2 linked regions of the Mytilus edulis genome follow. The protein of the gene in region 1 purifies or fractionates together with the protein of each later gene. This does not show direct contact. Links are inferred from orthologs where the notes say so. Each region holds a gene or a part of one and is shown on either strand. Other genes may lie near its edges.

Region 1 (9,128 bases):
CATGATTATTAAAATGACATAAATTGCCCTAAAACTTTAATACCAAAAATCCAATGAATTACTGTTTGGATCATAATACACATTGAACAGCTTAATATCAGACATCTATAAATCAATAATGTCTGCTGCAGCAAATTTATTGATTGTCAAGTTGGTGAATGCAAATTAGTACAAAGTAAACCTTATCTGTTTAAATTAAAGTGCAACATACAGTAATTTAAACATTAGTTAATTGATTTGACTTGATTAGTGATTACATGACACTTTTCACCCAACTGACATATAAAAGTGTATTTGGTGAACTCCATTTTAAAATAATATGCAGATTCATTCTACAACTACATGCATAATATATTTCTAATTTACAAGTATTGTTTTCATAAAAGTATGTTCCTCCCTAAATTAAATCCAAATCCCTAAATAAAGGTCTCAAAGCTATATGAATCATACTAATAATATATATATATATGAAGCATCAGATGATCCATAATATTCTTCTGACATCGGACTCAGACTTCTCTTGAACTGAATTTTAATGTGTGTATTGTTATACGTTTAATTTCTACATTGGCTAGAGGTATAGGGGAGGGTTGAGATCTTATAAACATGTTTAACCCTGCCGCAATTTTGCGCCTGTCCCAAGTCAGGAGCCTCTGGCCTTTGTCTTGTATGATGTCCATTATCACTGTACTAGTATACATATTTTTTAGGGGGCCAGCTGAAGAACGGCTACGGATACGGGAGTTTCTGGCTACATTGAAGACCCATTGGTGGCCTTTGGCTGTTGTCTGCTCTATGGTCGGGTTGTTATCGCTTTGATACATTCCCTATCTCCTTTCTCAATTTTATTCTGAATATAAACTTGCTTTTTTGTATACTGTTACATGCATGTTAATGTTACTTACATTTGTTTACTCAGAAAGGCAATTCAACAGGACATTCCAAGATTCATACCATTTAATGTGTTGTATCATTTACTTATGTACAGTAAAAGATACTCTCTCAGTTCAGTTGCCTATTAAAAGTATTTGCTCCTGTATCTTTAGGGAAAAGATAAATTATATAGAACAAACACATTACTTACCAGCGACAATCGTTTTAGCAGTTGTATTATATACATCTTCCTGGGAAACATTTGGTTGCAGTATTTTGTCAAAAATAAACAATTTTCCCTAAAAAAAAAATGTTAACTTAATCAATGAACAAGTATTTCAAATAATTAAAATTATATGCAACAGATAGTACAAATCAAATTCTGGTTTATTCTGTAATATATTATGTTAAATCTAGCTTTAATACATATACATACATGTATGATACAATACAAACAAAATGAGATCAGGATCCAGTAGGAACTGACGACTCCGTGGTAAAAACAGTTTAGAAAGGAAAACAACTACCACAAATGACTACATGAAGCAGCAAGCAACCAACAACTAAGGAATTACTGTAAAGCTACATTAACTTCCTAACTGTAGCAAATTCAAACTAGACAGTATGTGTCTCTTATTTCAAGATAAACAATAATTGTTGAATTGGTATTGTTATTATGCCAGTTCTGATTTTTTATCAACAATGACAAAATTTTTAAATGTATATTTATGATTTAGGTCATGAAAACAATTGTATAGAAATGATTAGATCCAGGAAACATTGATCAATGGCCAATCACTTTTAAACAATGTCTTTCTATTTGTATCCATCTGATGAGTTGAGCCTTTTTTAACTGACTTTCAAAGTTCGTTCTAAAAATTTTCAATTGACAATATCAGATGCATCAAATCATGAAAACAGAGTTTTTTGGGTTATATCAATCAGTTTTCTGGTTAAACCTGTGCTCGGAAGTTTTCACATAATCTAAGCTATTATTCTAGGTAATGGTGGTGGTGTGGTTGCTATGAAATAATATGCAAGGAAATCTTCATACAAATCATCGATCATTTAAAAAAAAATAGTTACAAAGGCATGAAGAACAGCAACTAATGTGCTGTCCTGTTACTTTTCATAAATTATATGCTGTTCGTGTACTAATTTTGTGTAATGGATGCATGGATGGATACCTTATATATTTTTCTATTATATATTACAAATTTATAGATTTTATTAGTATTGAAACTGGAGCTACAATGTATTTCAGGCAACAACTTTTACAAGCCCATAATTTTCAGTCCCTAATCACATCTGCTGACAACACTGTACTGTTTTATAAATAACAGGGCTTTCAATAGAATTAGAAGGCTGAAACTAAAAAATAACCAACATGCTGGTGGGGACGACAAAGGCTCTAGGTTATTTTAAAAGTAAAATCCTCCCTGCATTCTAGAAGTCTCCTGGCACAAAAATACAACTTTCAGATTGCCATGTTTTTGAATGAAGTTTTTATTTTTCATAAATTTTGTTTAAATTACATTATTAAAATTTTGAAGTATACCATATTAAATTACCAAGCTAGCAATGGGTAATGTCGCTATGTAAATGTTTAACCATCACACATGATGTGCAATTGTACACCAATTAAAAAGGACTTGTTGATTGCCCAATCAGGTTTTGTCTTACAAACAATTCTCGGAATGACAACAACTGGTAACTACTATTGTTGCACAACTCTTACGGAGAGACTGACACACATAAACAATAACACAACAATAATTTAAGGTTTAAAATAGAACTACGGTCAACATATCGATCTCATTTTTGTGTAATTTAAATAAAATACTTTAGGACAAAGAAGACTGCCAAATAGACAACTTTCGAGTTCTATGCATTTCTGTCAAAAAGTTTGGTTTAAGTGAACATCATTCGTGCGTATAGGGGAGTCTTCACTTCTGTTCAAATGTTGAGCAAGTGATTGGAAAACTATAAAGCTATATTACACAAACTATTCAGCAAATTGAATTCTCATAATAAGACTAAGACGCTTGATGAACGTTTATAGTGAAGGGATACAGGTGATCCCCTCTATCTGGTAAAAGACATCATAAAGGTGCGCATAATTGATGGACACCCTCGAAAGTGGTCTATTCCATGATCTTTCATGCTACATGTATAGACAAAATAGACGAAGGAAATCACAATACTGGCTTCTATTTAAAGCCCTAGTTTAAAGTTGAAGCTGTAGCATTTTCAAAAGAAAAAAAATTAAATATTCATTTTTGCATGTATAAATCACTTACATTTATATTTATAGAGTCATCTGTTGGAAACTTCAAGATAAACTTGCTGCCAACTTTTTCTTCAGAGGAATTTAATGGTCGGACCCTGCTAATAACTCTGATGCTGCATTCATCAGGAGTAGGCCCTGGTGGCCCTGGTGGAGCAGGTGACTGCTGTGTCGCCATTGTTTACGATACAAATTTAATTTGTAAACATCAATTTATAATGTAATGTATGTGAATCACACCATCATGAATATATCATGAGCTGAATAAACAGAAAATTAGCCAGTGAAAATGCAGTTGGAAAGAGTTACAAGAAAGATATCTTAAGCGAATTGGATATATCAATGAACTACTAAGCAGAAAATAGAGCAAAATGTATTAGGATGACACGGCGATCGCCTTGAACACACTATTTTTATAACGTCCGAACAAAATCTCCTCCTTCTTCCATCATTGCTGTTGAATGATGGGAAATGACGTTTGCGAGAAATCGAACTTCTCTAGACGTTTCTTTAATTCCATATAAAAGCTCGAAATTACCCGAATAAGATATTTCCCGCGGAATCTCTAATTTTAGCTTTGCAATGTTTGCGGACTAGATAAGATTAGATAGGAAAATTTATTTTAAATCGGGTTACACGAAATACTACAAACATAAGCTCTATAGAGCTTTTTCGTAGAGACAGCTTTATTGCATAAGTATAAGCAAAGTTCATATATATAAAAGCAAGCACGAATTAAACTAGATTATAAGCGTGACATGCAAAGAAGACAAATACATAAGCTTAACTAGTTCTAAAAGTAGAATGAACTTGAAACATAAAAAAAAATCAAATTGTCTATGTTTGTATATCTTGCCGACTCTAAATAAAGCTTATTCATTATTATTATTATGGTTCAGATTCGACTGCGCACATATCGCGTCAGGCAGCTCATTCCAGAGTGTACCGTACTTCCAACTTCCGAAGCAAGGTTGTCGGCTCGTTCTTGTATTTTTTTCAATATATTTTTTAGTGTTACCCTCCCCACAAAAATGCCAAACAACGGGACAATAGTTGAAATTTGACATAATATATGAATGATGATTAGTTAACCTTCCCAATTTAGATAGATGTTTCCCAATTCTTTTTAGTACATTTAACTGCCTTGATGCTTTTTTACAAATTTCAGAAATATGTGTTTTAAACTTGAGTTGATAATCTATTGTCACTCCCAGGAGCTTTACCTCAGTGTCACATGAAATTTCATTCTCATCAAAATTGAATTTAATATCCCCACTTTTAGATTTATAGCCAATGGCAATAGCTTGAAATTTATCCGGATTAGCTTTCATTTTGTTATTAGCAAACCAATCTATTAAAACTGCACTTTCCTTTCCCAAGATTTAACTAATCCGTTTATAGCTGGTCCTGAGTGTGACAATGTATTATTATCTGCATAGTTTTACAACTCATTTTCATTTACAAAATTGAAAATGTCGTTTATAAAAATTTTGAAAAGCACAGGACCCGATATTGACCCCTGCGGTACATCTTTATAAATGTTTTTCCAGGTGCTAAAATATGCAACCACTTTAACACATTGTTTTCTGTTCGACAGATAGTTGTCGTTAAGTTTAACGTCATCATTTGACTGGCCATATGCCTTCAACTTTAATAACAGTAACGGACTCTCAAAAAGTTTTTATAAATGAATAATAGAAAATACGGAAGTCAATATTTTCTAGAATAAGATATTTCCCGCTGAATCTCCAAGTTAATAATAGTTTGTTTGTTTGTTTAGACAAACAGAAACATATGTATATTGTATAATCATGGACTATTAGGGGTCTCAAGTTGGGGGGGTTCTGATCCCGGATCCCGTTTACTGTTTTGTCAGATTTCCGTATCCCGCTTACACTAAGTATGAAAGCAATAATATCTCATTTTTCCGCTAGACATCATTTCCCGTTTTCACGGCACAATCATTTGACTTTCACGTGTCACGCTTACAAAAAATCGGCAATACCGCGTCACGCTTAGACCCCAATGAGACCCACCTTTTATACTAATTTATAAATAATGAAAATACAGGGTTTTTTGTTTTTGTTAAGAATGTTCGTTCGGATCAAATTTCAACTATTTATTGATATATTTTGTATCTCAGGCTTCCAACATTTTCAGGACAGTGGCGGTGTAGCTAGCCGGTTTACCCCCCCCCCCCAACCCCACCCCCCCCCCCCCCCAAAAAAAGAAGGCCGGACATATATTGTACAAGTTTATGGTTGCACTGATGTATTCCTGATATGTTTGTGTACAAAATGATACATATGAGGGGGTCACATATAGAAAGAAACGAAGAACTTATTGATTATTAAATTAAACTTGTTAAAACACATTTTTGAGGGTATGATAACAGTTTCAGTGTTGTCGCATTTGACTTTTGTATATATATGAAAACTTAAATAGATGGTGACAAATTATTCGCAGCTAAATCATCAGCAAACCAGGATCTACAAAAAAAGGCTATTTCAAAGAAATAACGTGTGTGATAGTAAACTTGAAATATTCAAACGTCCTGAACATACCAAACTGACATATAACATAAGTCCTTGACCGAAATCGTTAATGTACTCTCTATAAGAGTTATTGTCGTGAAATACACACCTTTACCGTTGATTTTTTTTGTGCTTTTACCTTCACTCTAGTTTGAATATAGACCTATGTTAGATGAGAACGATATATATTTGATTTTTTTAGTATGATTATCTTGATCTATAAAGTTCTGTTTATTCTTTTACAATTTGGATATTAGTAAATTCCCTTTTTTCTCCTTAAAAGATTTGATGATAAAAAATATCATATCTACATTGTTTACCCTTTTGCCCGGATAGTTTATGATGTAAATAGCAGATATTGGAATAGTTTCAACATCCCTCATTCAGATCGAAACTATAAGTCAAACTCAGTTTTAAAAAAAGTCAAGCGCAGATATAAGTAAAGTGTTTTATTTTGGAAGGGACAACTGATGCCTTGTCAATCTAATTATAATTAAGATATTGATCTCTAATTTTGTTATACTATATATGACTGATATGTAGTTTAACGAAATCAGAGATCAATATTTTAATTAGATTGGATGCTTTGTAAAACCCTTAACTCTTATTCAAGCAATATCTCAATTAGTTTCTCTAATGCAAAAAGTTCTGTTTATCCTACATGAGCACATGCAGAAGTTTGACCTGGCCTGTTTTGGCTGAGATTTGTGTTGTTCAATATTACGGTCTTTTGTATTGTGTTTCGTTTTCTGTTATTTGTCTTTTCGTCGTATTTTCAGTCTTTTAATTTTGGTCATATTGTGCATCTGGGATATAAGACATATAATATTCTGTTGTTTTTTTTTGTACAAACCTATAGGATCTGATTTACATACATATAGGCCTACTTGAAGTAAACTATTCTCTTGTACACTTGGACACATAACTTTGTTGTAAAAAAATATGCATCTGTAATCCAAAGTGTTGACATTGTAGACAAAATCCGACAAGGTTGCATGTGTCAGAACACACTTTAAAGATTGAAAAGGGAAGATATCAGGGCAATCCTCGACACGAAATAGCTTGTCATAGATGCTTAGGTCTGAGGTTGAGATGGTTTTACTTCTTCTTTTTTTACCTCAATAAATAATTAGAGAAGCAAACAATTACAAATTTGTCCCAGGAAATGATATCCAACTTTGACATTTTAACTATTAAGGATCTATGATTTTTGTTGTTGATTTTTTTCTCCCTCAGAGCATTGGGACAAGTTGTACTAGAGGCTGCATATAAATCCAAGTAATGTTTGCGCTTATTTTTTTATTTCAACAATGTTTTTTGAGAGCCTGTATTTAGGCAACAGCTGCTTATCAGGACTAGATCATAAGTTTTTGAACATAAGTTTAAAGATGTATTGTAAAGTGCTTTAAACAATATCCGGCTTCGGTTTAGTTGCTTGAGTGTCCTTTAAGCAACTACAATATTTGTGCATATACACTAGCCTTGCGGAGGACTTCGCATTGCAACAGGTTAATATCACAGTTCCAGATCACCACTGATTCATATATATTTATATGAAAATTAGGGAATATAAAAAGCTGTTTTACTTTATATATTTATATATCTATATCAAATACAGGGACGAATTGTCAATAGGGTAGAATTGTCAATGCAGTAATAGGATATCGGTACACTTATATTAAATATTGGGTACGAATTGGTAAAGGTACGAGTTAACGTGTAACCAAGTCATATGATCTAATCACATGACTTCAACAAAACATTGAAAATGGCGACTTACATGTTTCGTCCAACTTTCACTTTCGTCTTTTTATTTATGATCATACATGCACTAAAGGTATTTGTTACACAAGTTAACTTATATTTTGGTTCAAAACATTTAAAATTTTAGATTAGTGTTCTCAAACATCTTTCAGAGGAGTGAAAACAAATTTTAATCAAATCAAATCAATACTCAATCTAACAAAATTCATGATCATTCATATATCAAATCAAATCAAATTTTTGGACCAAAGAGCCAGTGTGAGCTAATATGAGGCAGGCACTACCTGTAAATGGGGACGAAGTCTGTATGAATTATTTTTTTGTAACTTAAATATTTTGTTTAAAAAAAAAGAAACGGAAATACCGTAATGTTTCCGATTTTGGTTCTGTTGTAAGGGATTTAGTTGTGACGTCATTTAAATTATGACGTCATATGCAATGTAAACAAAGAAACGCTATCATCAGGTAACGTTTTTTCATATCAAGGAATTATTAAAAATGAAATTGGTATTGCACGTTCCTTCCTATTTTATACTAGACTGATAAATATATATTTTACTCAAAGTTTCATACAAACGAGACCGGAAAAAGGAAGTACATTGTACATTTCTGCGCAGGTCCAGGATTTCAAAACACGACAAAAAAAATTTGAACGATTTTGAGTTCATTAGTACAATGAAAAATTCGGGAAATTTTCCCGTATTTTTTTTTTATTGAATTTTCTACTGTTATTGGGGACTCCGTCCCCATATTAATTCAATAATTGTCATCAATTGTCATTGTCCTTGTCTGACAACAATTACAAATATCTTGCAAATAATTGATAGTTTTTATACAACTGCAAATTTTTTTGTGATCATATATTGGTATCACGTACATGACGTAGTCGTCCTCGTCCTCGTCGTCTGAAGACATTTGGTTTCCGGACAATAACTTTAGTATAAGTAAATAGAAATCTCTGAAATTTAAACACAAGGTTAATTATATCCACAAAAAGAAAGTTTGGATTGATTTTTGGGGTTATGCCTTATTGTCCCAACAATTTAGGAATTAAGAGGCCCAAATATGCTTTTTTCTAGTTCCAGACAATAAATTGTGTTGAAGTGTATGGATCTCTCTGAAATAATACCTCAAGTTTCCAGACTACAAACGGATGGTTAAGATTGGGTTTGGGGGGTTATGGTTCAAACTGTATATGAATTAGGGGCAAAAAAGGGGGAAAACAAGGGTTTCCTGGTTAATTGAGAATTAAGACAATTTTTGGATTACCTCCCTAACACTGCATTTAAATTATGTACAAAGAAATGTATTGTTTTGAGGTGATTAGCTGTCAATTTACTTTAAGAATTATGCTGATTAAGGAATATTAATATCAATGTTAATACTTTTATGATGTATTTAATGGGTAATTATGGTTGCAAACTCAAATGGAAATTTGAATTGAGATTATAACATTACTCGAGGGAAAGGAAAAGGGTGGGGGAGGTGAAAAAAATTGGGGGGGGGGGGGGGGGGGGGGAGAGAAGTTGTAGGGGCAATTTTTTTCAATTCAGATTTCAGAAATTTAAATGAAAATTTCTTCATATTTTTTTTTGTGCAAATATGCAACATCATAGTGTATTGCATAAAATTAAAAAAAAAAGTTTTTTTTAATTTTTATTTGAGAGGGG
Region 2 (8,521 bases), on another chromosome or scaffold:
ATAGTGCGAGTGGGGCATTCTTGTACTATGGACACATTCTTGTTTTTTTAATTTTGATATAGTACAAGAACAGCAGAGATGTGCCTCTTTGCCTTGAAAGCAAATATTAATCATGTTTCAAACATCCAGCTCCAAACATATTCATAATAAGATCAATACAATCTGTACACAAAAAAATAAAAAGGAATAATAACCAAAATATTGGATGGTTCATGTACATGAACAACAGACCACACCAACTGAAATCCTACAAGACCTTCAATATGTTATTTACCGGTAATCAATTTGTTCGAAAAAATTTCTAAATTACATTTCTATTATAAAACAACCATGACAACAGAAAATCTGCAAATTGTGATTGTATAAAGACTCTGTGACCGGGACAAAATAAAATAAAAATATAAATCTAATTAAGGTGGTACCTAACACTTCAGGGAGATAACTCTGTAAAATCAGCAGAACGTTTTAATGACGTTGTGTTGTTAAGGGAATATTAAGCTTCTCAATGATCAAAATAAGTGTTTGCCAAACTGCTATATAACCAGTGTAATTACTCTGATTAAATGGTTGGTGAAATTTTCTTAAAATTTGTATATTTTTGTCAAAGGGTCAAAGTAAATATTTTGTCAAGATTTTAAGAAAATTAAACGAGCCAAATTAATTTTAGTTTAGGTGTTTGGTACCACCTTAAATCAAAATGTCAACCAATAATAGGATATAACTATCCAAACACTTTTCAATGGTGTTACCTAACATGCAAAACACAATAATTCAGAATATGCTTGACCATTGGACAATTTGAAAAATTATGAAGTAGGTGATTCTGATACAGATATTAGCTATTCACTTGTACCAATGTCTGATCCGATATATTTCAGTACCAAAATAACCATTAATTTTAAGACTATTTTTGTTTTGATTATTTGATAGTTATCAAAAGTACCAGGATTATAATTTTATACGCCAGACGCGCGTTTTGTCTACATAAGACTCATCAGTGACGCTCAGATCAAAATAGTTCAAAAAGCCAAATAAATACAAAGTTGAAGAGCATTGAGGACCCAAAATTCCAAAAAGTTGTGCCAAATACGGCTAAGTTAATCTACTCCTGGGGTAAGAAAATCCTTAGTTTTTCAAAAAATTCAAAGTTTTGTAAACAGAAAATTTATAAAAATGACTGTAGTTTTAATAAAAACATCATATTGCATCTGCTTGACTTATATATTGTTTTTAAGTAATGATTTTTACACAATAGTTTAAAACTGCAAAATTATGAAATTATCATGTTTACCTGTACATACTATAACCATGTTTGTGCTGAAATACTAAAACCCACATTTTTGCCCCAAGCTCTCAAGTCAGGAACTTCTAGCCTCTGTTAGTCTTGTGCTTTTTTTTAATTTTGGTTCATTTGTATGTTTTGAACTTCAGTATTGGGTCCATTTCACTGAAACAGTTTATATGTACATTATTGTTTAGTGACTAGCTGAAGCCAATTGAAGACACATTGGTCCCTATTATTTGCTTTCTAGTCTGACAGGTTGATGTCTCTTTGATATACTCCCATTCTAGCATATAACGAGTGTCAATCATAACAAATTTCCAAGATAACACCTGATTATAGAGTTACAAATACATGTAACTGACATGTGAATTTTTTTTCTGGAACTCTGTAAATTCTGTCTTAGAGAGTAATTTTATATGAATACCTTTGCATAAAACCAGGCAAACAAAACTGAAGGTAGACAGTATGTCTTTTACTTTGGATAGCCATGTTTGCATACACCATAAAAAATATGGGAAACTTCAAAATGTATACTAAATACTGACTTGTATATAAACACAATTTACATGTACAGTTAAGAACATTTTAACAAAAAGATACAAACTAAAAAAAAAAATTCACCCTGATTCTTATTTTGTTTTGTTATAGTAGTAAAATATATCATTTAATAGAGCATTTTATATAATAGCCAATGAGACAAGTAGATCCACCAGCTGATTTAAAATGTGATACTGATAGTAGCCAACACAAAATGAATAGTCCACTGTATTGCCTTCAACATTACACAATGAAGTAGTTTACTTTTAAAAATTGTTATTTTATTTATAAAACCACTACAATGTAAAGACAATTGATAATGCAAAAAGTGAGATCAAATGCATCTATTTATAATCATCATTCCAGTTTTCTTATTCTAAATTACAATCAACTGTAACTTAAACAAATTCTAAATTTAAAAAATGTAACAATGAAGCCAATAAAACAAGCAATTAAACTTAATCTATTTCCATGTTGTTGTTTTTTTGTATTTTTTTTAGCAAATTCTAATATTTATACATGTATATTTAATTTCTTATATATTTATCAAATAAATAAAATTAAGTATGGATCTATGGAATATGTCAAAGAGACAACATCCCAACAAAATAGCAGATAACAGAGGAAGGTCACAGATGGATCGTCAACACCATGAGAAAATCCCGCACCCAGAGGAGGCCTTCAACTGGCCCCTGAATAAAAATGTGAACCAGTTCAATGAAAATTAAATACCTGATAAATACAGGCACCATAAGGAATAAAAACCTAAATACCAGAAATGTCAGTATATGTATCTAAAATAAAATAAGATTGCCCATCTACCTAAATCATATTGACAAACAAACCAAATAACATTTTAGAGGGGGTAATCTAGTGTGGGTTTGTGGTCCTTGGGACCCAGACTGGTGTTTAAACTAAAATGGGTACTCTGGGGGCCACTGTTGGTCAAAGCTGCCCTTAACTTTGACCTGAAGATCAATCGACTGATATCTCTTCAGTTCGTCTGTTCCTGCAGTCACTTTGTTCAAGTACTTTGGCCTCCGCCAATAAAAGACTTTCCGATGTCCCATCACTACCTGTGAGTAGGCATTGGGCCAGGATAATTTGTCCTTGTAAATATCGTTGAAAATATGTAAGTGACACATGTATCTCCTCTACACAAATTCCACTGTACCCTTGAGGGTTGCTCAGAATAATGAAGGAATCTATTAGTACATACATAATCTAGTATCATATTCATGATCTGTTTTGACTTTTAAAATTCATAAATCATTATTTTTAGCAGGTTGAAAATGAACAGGTTGCGAACGAACCCTTTACATTTGTATATGGTGATTAGTCTTGTATAGAGGAATAATCCTTCTATAGATGGATAACCATGTAGAGGATTTGTTCCCAACCTCATGAACATCTCATATAAATATTCTAAAATGTCCTATGCATTATTTGGGCTGTTCAGGGCTATTGTCCAACCTGAAGCTGTGTAATCATAACTATTATAGTCCCTATTATATTTTATGACAATGTCAATGTTCCACAGCACCCAAACTGTTGTCTGATGAGGTTGTCTTTTTTTGTTTTGATCATGACACATAAACTCTTGATCTGTTAGTAGCAAATACTTACTGGCAATCTTTAACTACCTCCTCTTGTGTTCTAACTTGAACTGGAGCTATATGATCTACTTTGTCCTCGAAATTGCAGAAACATTTTGTGATTTTTTCATCAAATGTATTCACCAAATCTTCCAATGATTCAGACACCGTTTCCGCGAAGTTTTCAGAATGTTCACTTTCTTCATGAGCAGTTGACATGTCCGTGTTTAAAAGGCTACTTGTTTCACTTACACCTTGAAAATCACTATACTCTGCAAGTTCCTCATTCTCAAATTTTGCAAGTGGAGCCTCGAAATGTAGCTCCGCCATTTTCATTCCCCGCATCCTGACATCTCTGACCTTCACCTTTTAGATAATTTTTTTATTTAGACTGAAGTGTTCATTTCATTAGAAGAAAGACAACTCAACACAGGCACTTGTCTGAAAAAATCATGTGCACGGTACTATTTGGATCTCTTAAGCTATAAAGGAAAATTATTTTCGAGAGAAAGGTGCCTGTGCTGAAGCTGAAATGTAAAATAAATTTTCACAATTTATTAATAGACACGGCCATAGAAAGACAAAACAAGTGGCTCCTTTCACAAATATTTTATCTTGATTTTGTCTACAATATAAACAGAGACATAAAGGTCTCTGATATAATGTAATACAAATATTTCCTCAGTAATCATAAGATGTGCAAAGAATGTTTTGACGTTTATATTTTGCCAACATCACTTGGTCAATCGACACAAAAAGGGGTCTCGTCAAATAAAAATCATATGTTTCAAAACATTGACTGGCTTATCTAATTTTCAGATTCTCGAATTCCAATTATAATAATGTGGGAGGGATTGTTTATTTTATCACCAATTCATTCACTATTAACCATGCAGACTATATCTTGACGACCAGTTTTCGTGGCAGACCATCTTAGCAGTTGGGGTCATATTGTTAAACCCTCGTGTCATATTATGCAATGAACAGACTAGTTTCCTAAACTCCTTCTCATATTGAGCTGATATATAGTTTGAGAGTCTACGGTGAGTGCCAAATATTTTTTGTAGATTATTGGAGAGTCGTTTTATCGGCTATCAAACCACATCTTATTTTAATTGTATACAAACATTATAAATTAATTACTATCCAAACTTATCTGTGTCCACACTATATTGAGAAAAAAAAACTTTAACCCAAAATGTTAAACAAAAGTTAACTGCTAAAAGATTTGATCTATTTTTCAGAAAATAGAAGAGAAAAAATTCATTCAAATTTTAGGCTGGACATGATACAATATCTTTTGACAACGAAAGTCTTTCAAGACAGTCCAATTTTCTTTCCATAAAGGCTTGAAAAAAAGAAGTGTCTTGAAAAAAATTAACCATTTCATGCAACTTACTGTTATTAAACTGTGAAAAAGCTGAGTCAATTTAACAGTAAAATAGGGAAAAAATTAACAACCAAGTGCTCCGCAGGGCGCAGCTTTATACGACCGCAGAGGTCGAACCCTGAACAGTTGGGGCAAGTATGGACAAAACATTCAAGCGTGATACAGCTCTGAATTTGGATTGTGATCAAATTTTTGACATAACATGGTTTTTTTTTTACACAAAACAAATGTCAAGATTTTACAAATCAATTAAAGATTTCTTCTTCAAACTTTTTAAATCTAAAATTAAATAGTTGACACAGCATAGGTTTCTGACACAGAATGAATGTGGTCTAATGAACTAACTAATTTTTTTTGCCTATGAGCAATTCACTATGCTGTTGAATATTAATCCTCTCAAAAAATGTTTGAAGAAATTTTCTTTTTATTTATGAAATCTGAAATGAGAAAAATTTAACCCCCCCCCCCCTTTTTTTCACATCACCGTTTTCCTTTTTCCAAAACTGATATCAATTCAAATTTCTAATGGAGTTTGCAACAATAACTACTCTTTTAAATACATCATAAAATATTAAAATGTAAAATAAAGTGCTTGTTATCACTGAATGGTAAAGATTGGTTGGTAGTAAAAGTGAATATACATTGTTTATTGTATAAAACAATAAAAAAAACTTCATCAGCAACATTTTATATTGGCAAATTTCCAATGAAGTTATTTACATAAAGTTATTGGCAAATAAAAATAGAAAATGACATCATAGTCATGTCTGGCAAATGTCCAACATACATTATCTAAAAACATTTTAGATAAGATAAGGAAAAAAAGCTTCATCAGCAACATTTTATATTGGCAAATTTCCAATGAAGTTATTTACATAAAGTTATTGGCAAATAAAAATAGAAAATGACATCATAGTCATGTCTGGCAAATTTCCAACATATATTATCAACTACTATTCTATACAAAGAAAGATAACTCCAATTGAAAATTAATTGCTATTGCACAATATTGTGCAATTAAATTTCTTGCTATTGTGCAATACTGTGCAATTGAAAATTTCTTGCTATTGCACAATACTTGATATGGAATCCTGATTTGGACCAACTTGAAAATTGGGCCCATAATCAAAAATCAAAGTACATATTTAGATAAAGCATATCAAATAAGCCCAAGAATTTAATTTTTGTTAAAATCAAACTTAGTTTAATTTTGGACCCTTTGGACCTTAATGTAGACAAATTTGAACACTGGACCAAAATTAAGAATCTACATACAGTTAGATTTGGCATATCAAAGAACCCATTTATTCAATTTTTGATGAAATCAAACAAAGTTTAATTTTGGACCCCCATTTGGACCAACTTGAAAACTAGGCCAATATTAAATTAAAAATCTAAGTACATTTTTAAATTCAGCATATCAAAGAACCCCAAGGATTCAATTTTTGTTAAAATCAAACTAAGTTTAATTTTGGACCCTTTGGACCTTAATGTAGACCAATTAGAAAACTGGACCAAAAATTAAGAATCTACATACATAGTTAGATTCGGCATATCAAAGAACCCCAATTATTCAATTTTTGATGAAATCACACAAAGTTCAATTTTGGACCCTTTGGGCTCCTTATTCCTAACCTGTTAGGACCAAAACTCCAAAAATCATACCCAACCTTCCTTTTATGGTCATAAACCTTGTGTTTAAATTTCATTGATTTCTATTTACTAATACTAAAGTTATTGTGCGAAAACCAAGAATAATGCTTATTTGGGCCCTTTTTTGGCCCTTTTAAATTCCTAAACTGTTGGAACCAAAACTCCCAAAATCAATCCTAACCTTCCTTTTGTGGTCATAAACCTTGTGTCAAAATTTCATAGATTTCTATTCACTTAAACTAAAGTTATAGTGTGAAAACCAAGAAAATGCTTATTTGGGCCCTTTTTGGCCCCTAATTCCTAAAATGTTGGGACCAAAACTCCCAAAATCAATCCCAACCTTCCTTTTGTGGTCATAAACCTTGTGTTAAAATTTCATTGATTTCTATTCACTTTTACTAAAGTTAGAGTGCGAAAACTAAAAGTATTCGGACGACAACGCAGACGCCAACGTGATAGCAATATACGACCAAAAAATTAAAATTTTTGCGGTCGTATAAAAATGATTTTCAAAATTTACCCCGGACAGTGTCTTTTGAGCATTCAAAAAGTCTTATGATCAAGGTTTGACAGAGATATTGATGTCATTTATAAAGTTTTACTTGGACACATACAAAGACAGACTGTAGGAAGTCCTATGTCTGCCAAGTCTTGTCTCTGAAAAATAGTGACCATGTTGCTTTAACATGATATAGTTTGAGCCATTTAATCTTAATTGGAGTGTTGACTTGCAAATGATAAGACAAGTGCATACCAAATATTAACATTAACTTGGTTAATATTCATATCATAAACTTTGCAACATTCTGTCAATACCATAATAGACAGGTGGAGCAACATAAACTCAATGGAAATGAGATGTGACAATGCCAATTCATCTGCATAACAAGAGTATAATTGAGTGGTTCTCTTTAAACTGACCTAATCATTAACTAATTTTGTTTCATCGACAATGGAAATAGCATGTCTTAAGTTTTGCTTTTTTGAGTTTGAGACTGCTTATAAATGATAACGCTTTGATATTTGATAACCATAGAATTGTTGTTTCAATAAAATAATGAAAATTCTACACCCATGCTAAATATTTGTTCAAATTATATCAGTATAAAGCAATCTGGCACTCTCATGAGAAGAAACATGTAATGTACTGTGTGCGATTGCACCCAGAATGTTGTTTTCAATGTAATTAACGGTTCAAACCAATGTAACATGATTAATTTATGTTTTAACTGGTTTTTAACTAGCTCACTATTTAACAAATTTTGTCATTATTAAGATCATTCAAGTTGTGCCTTTACACACCACTGTCCCATGTGAGTGAACAATAGAGATTTGCAAATATGGAATTTGCTTATTGTTGAAGGGTTTTCAGTGACCTATAGCAGTTAATTTCTGTGTCATTTGGTCTCTTGTGTCGAGTTGTCTTATTGGCAATATCATATATTTATATATTAATCTAGTTGCATTTTGAATGCATCTGTCCCTAGTCAGGAGCATGTAATTAAGTTGTGGTCCTTGGTCGTTTATTTTGTTGAAACTTTTTTTTTAGTTTGAAAAGTTTAACATTTTGTCATGTGAGTTTTTCAATTATATTGTATGAGTATTATTCATTTTTGAATGCCATACAGTGACATTTTAATGCTATGTCTATATGTTTTATTCTCTGGTGGTTGACTCGTTGGTTATCATTCTTATTTTATATAAACTTTGACTTGTCTCAGCAACCACAGAGTAACAGGATCCACAGGTCGGGTAAAATTCAGTATTCTTTGATTTTATCAGTTTGAATGGGTTTCCCTTTTTTTAAAATAGCCTTGGAATTTGTTTTTTTCAATACTTTTTTTTCTGTCAATATATCAGAAATTAAGCCTTGGAATTTGTTTTTTTCAATACTTTTTTTTCTGTCAAAATATCAGAAATTATCTCATAAGTGACAAATAATATGTTATTTGAAATAATATAAATGCCACTTGAGATTTTTTTGGTAAATAAATAAAACGAGCTTTAAATGCCTTAATCTGAAACTTATATTGACTGGCTTATTGATAAAACATGTCAAGG

The links.
Region 2: the proteins of kinesin heavy chain-like (region 1) and fasciculation and elongation protein zeta-2-like purify together in Drosophila melanogaster (affinity purification with western blotting; 3 studies listed by BioGRID). This does not show direct contact. The link is inferred for Mytilus edulis from reciprocal best matches to the Drosophila melanogaster genes Khc and Unc-76.

The regions. Positions count from the first base shown.
Region 1 is NC_092345.1:94,134,655-94,143,782, forward strand, and holds the start of kinesin heavy chain-like, read right to left. Parts: upstream 3,701-9,128; 5' UTR 3,339-3,700; coding exon 3,174-3,338; intron 1,173-3,173; coding exon 1,085-1,172; intron 1-1,084. Other genes in the region: beta-galactosidase-like, read left to right, coding at 7,463-7,531. UniProt on the Drosophila melanogaster protein: Kinesin is a microtubule-associated force-producing protein that may play a role in organelle transport. Milt and Miro form an essential protein complex that links Khc to mitochondria for light chain-independent, anterograde transport of mitochondria.
Region 2 is NC_092346.1:56,389,785-56,398,305, reverse strand, and holds the start of fasciculation and elongation protein zeta-2-like, read right to left. Parts: upstream 3,986-8,521; 5' UTR 3,763-3,985; coding exon 3,449-3,762; intron 1-3,448.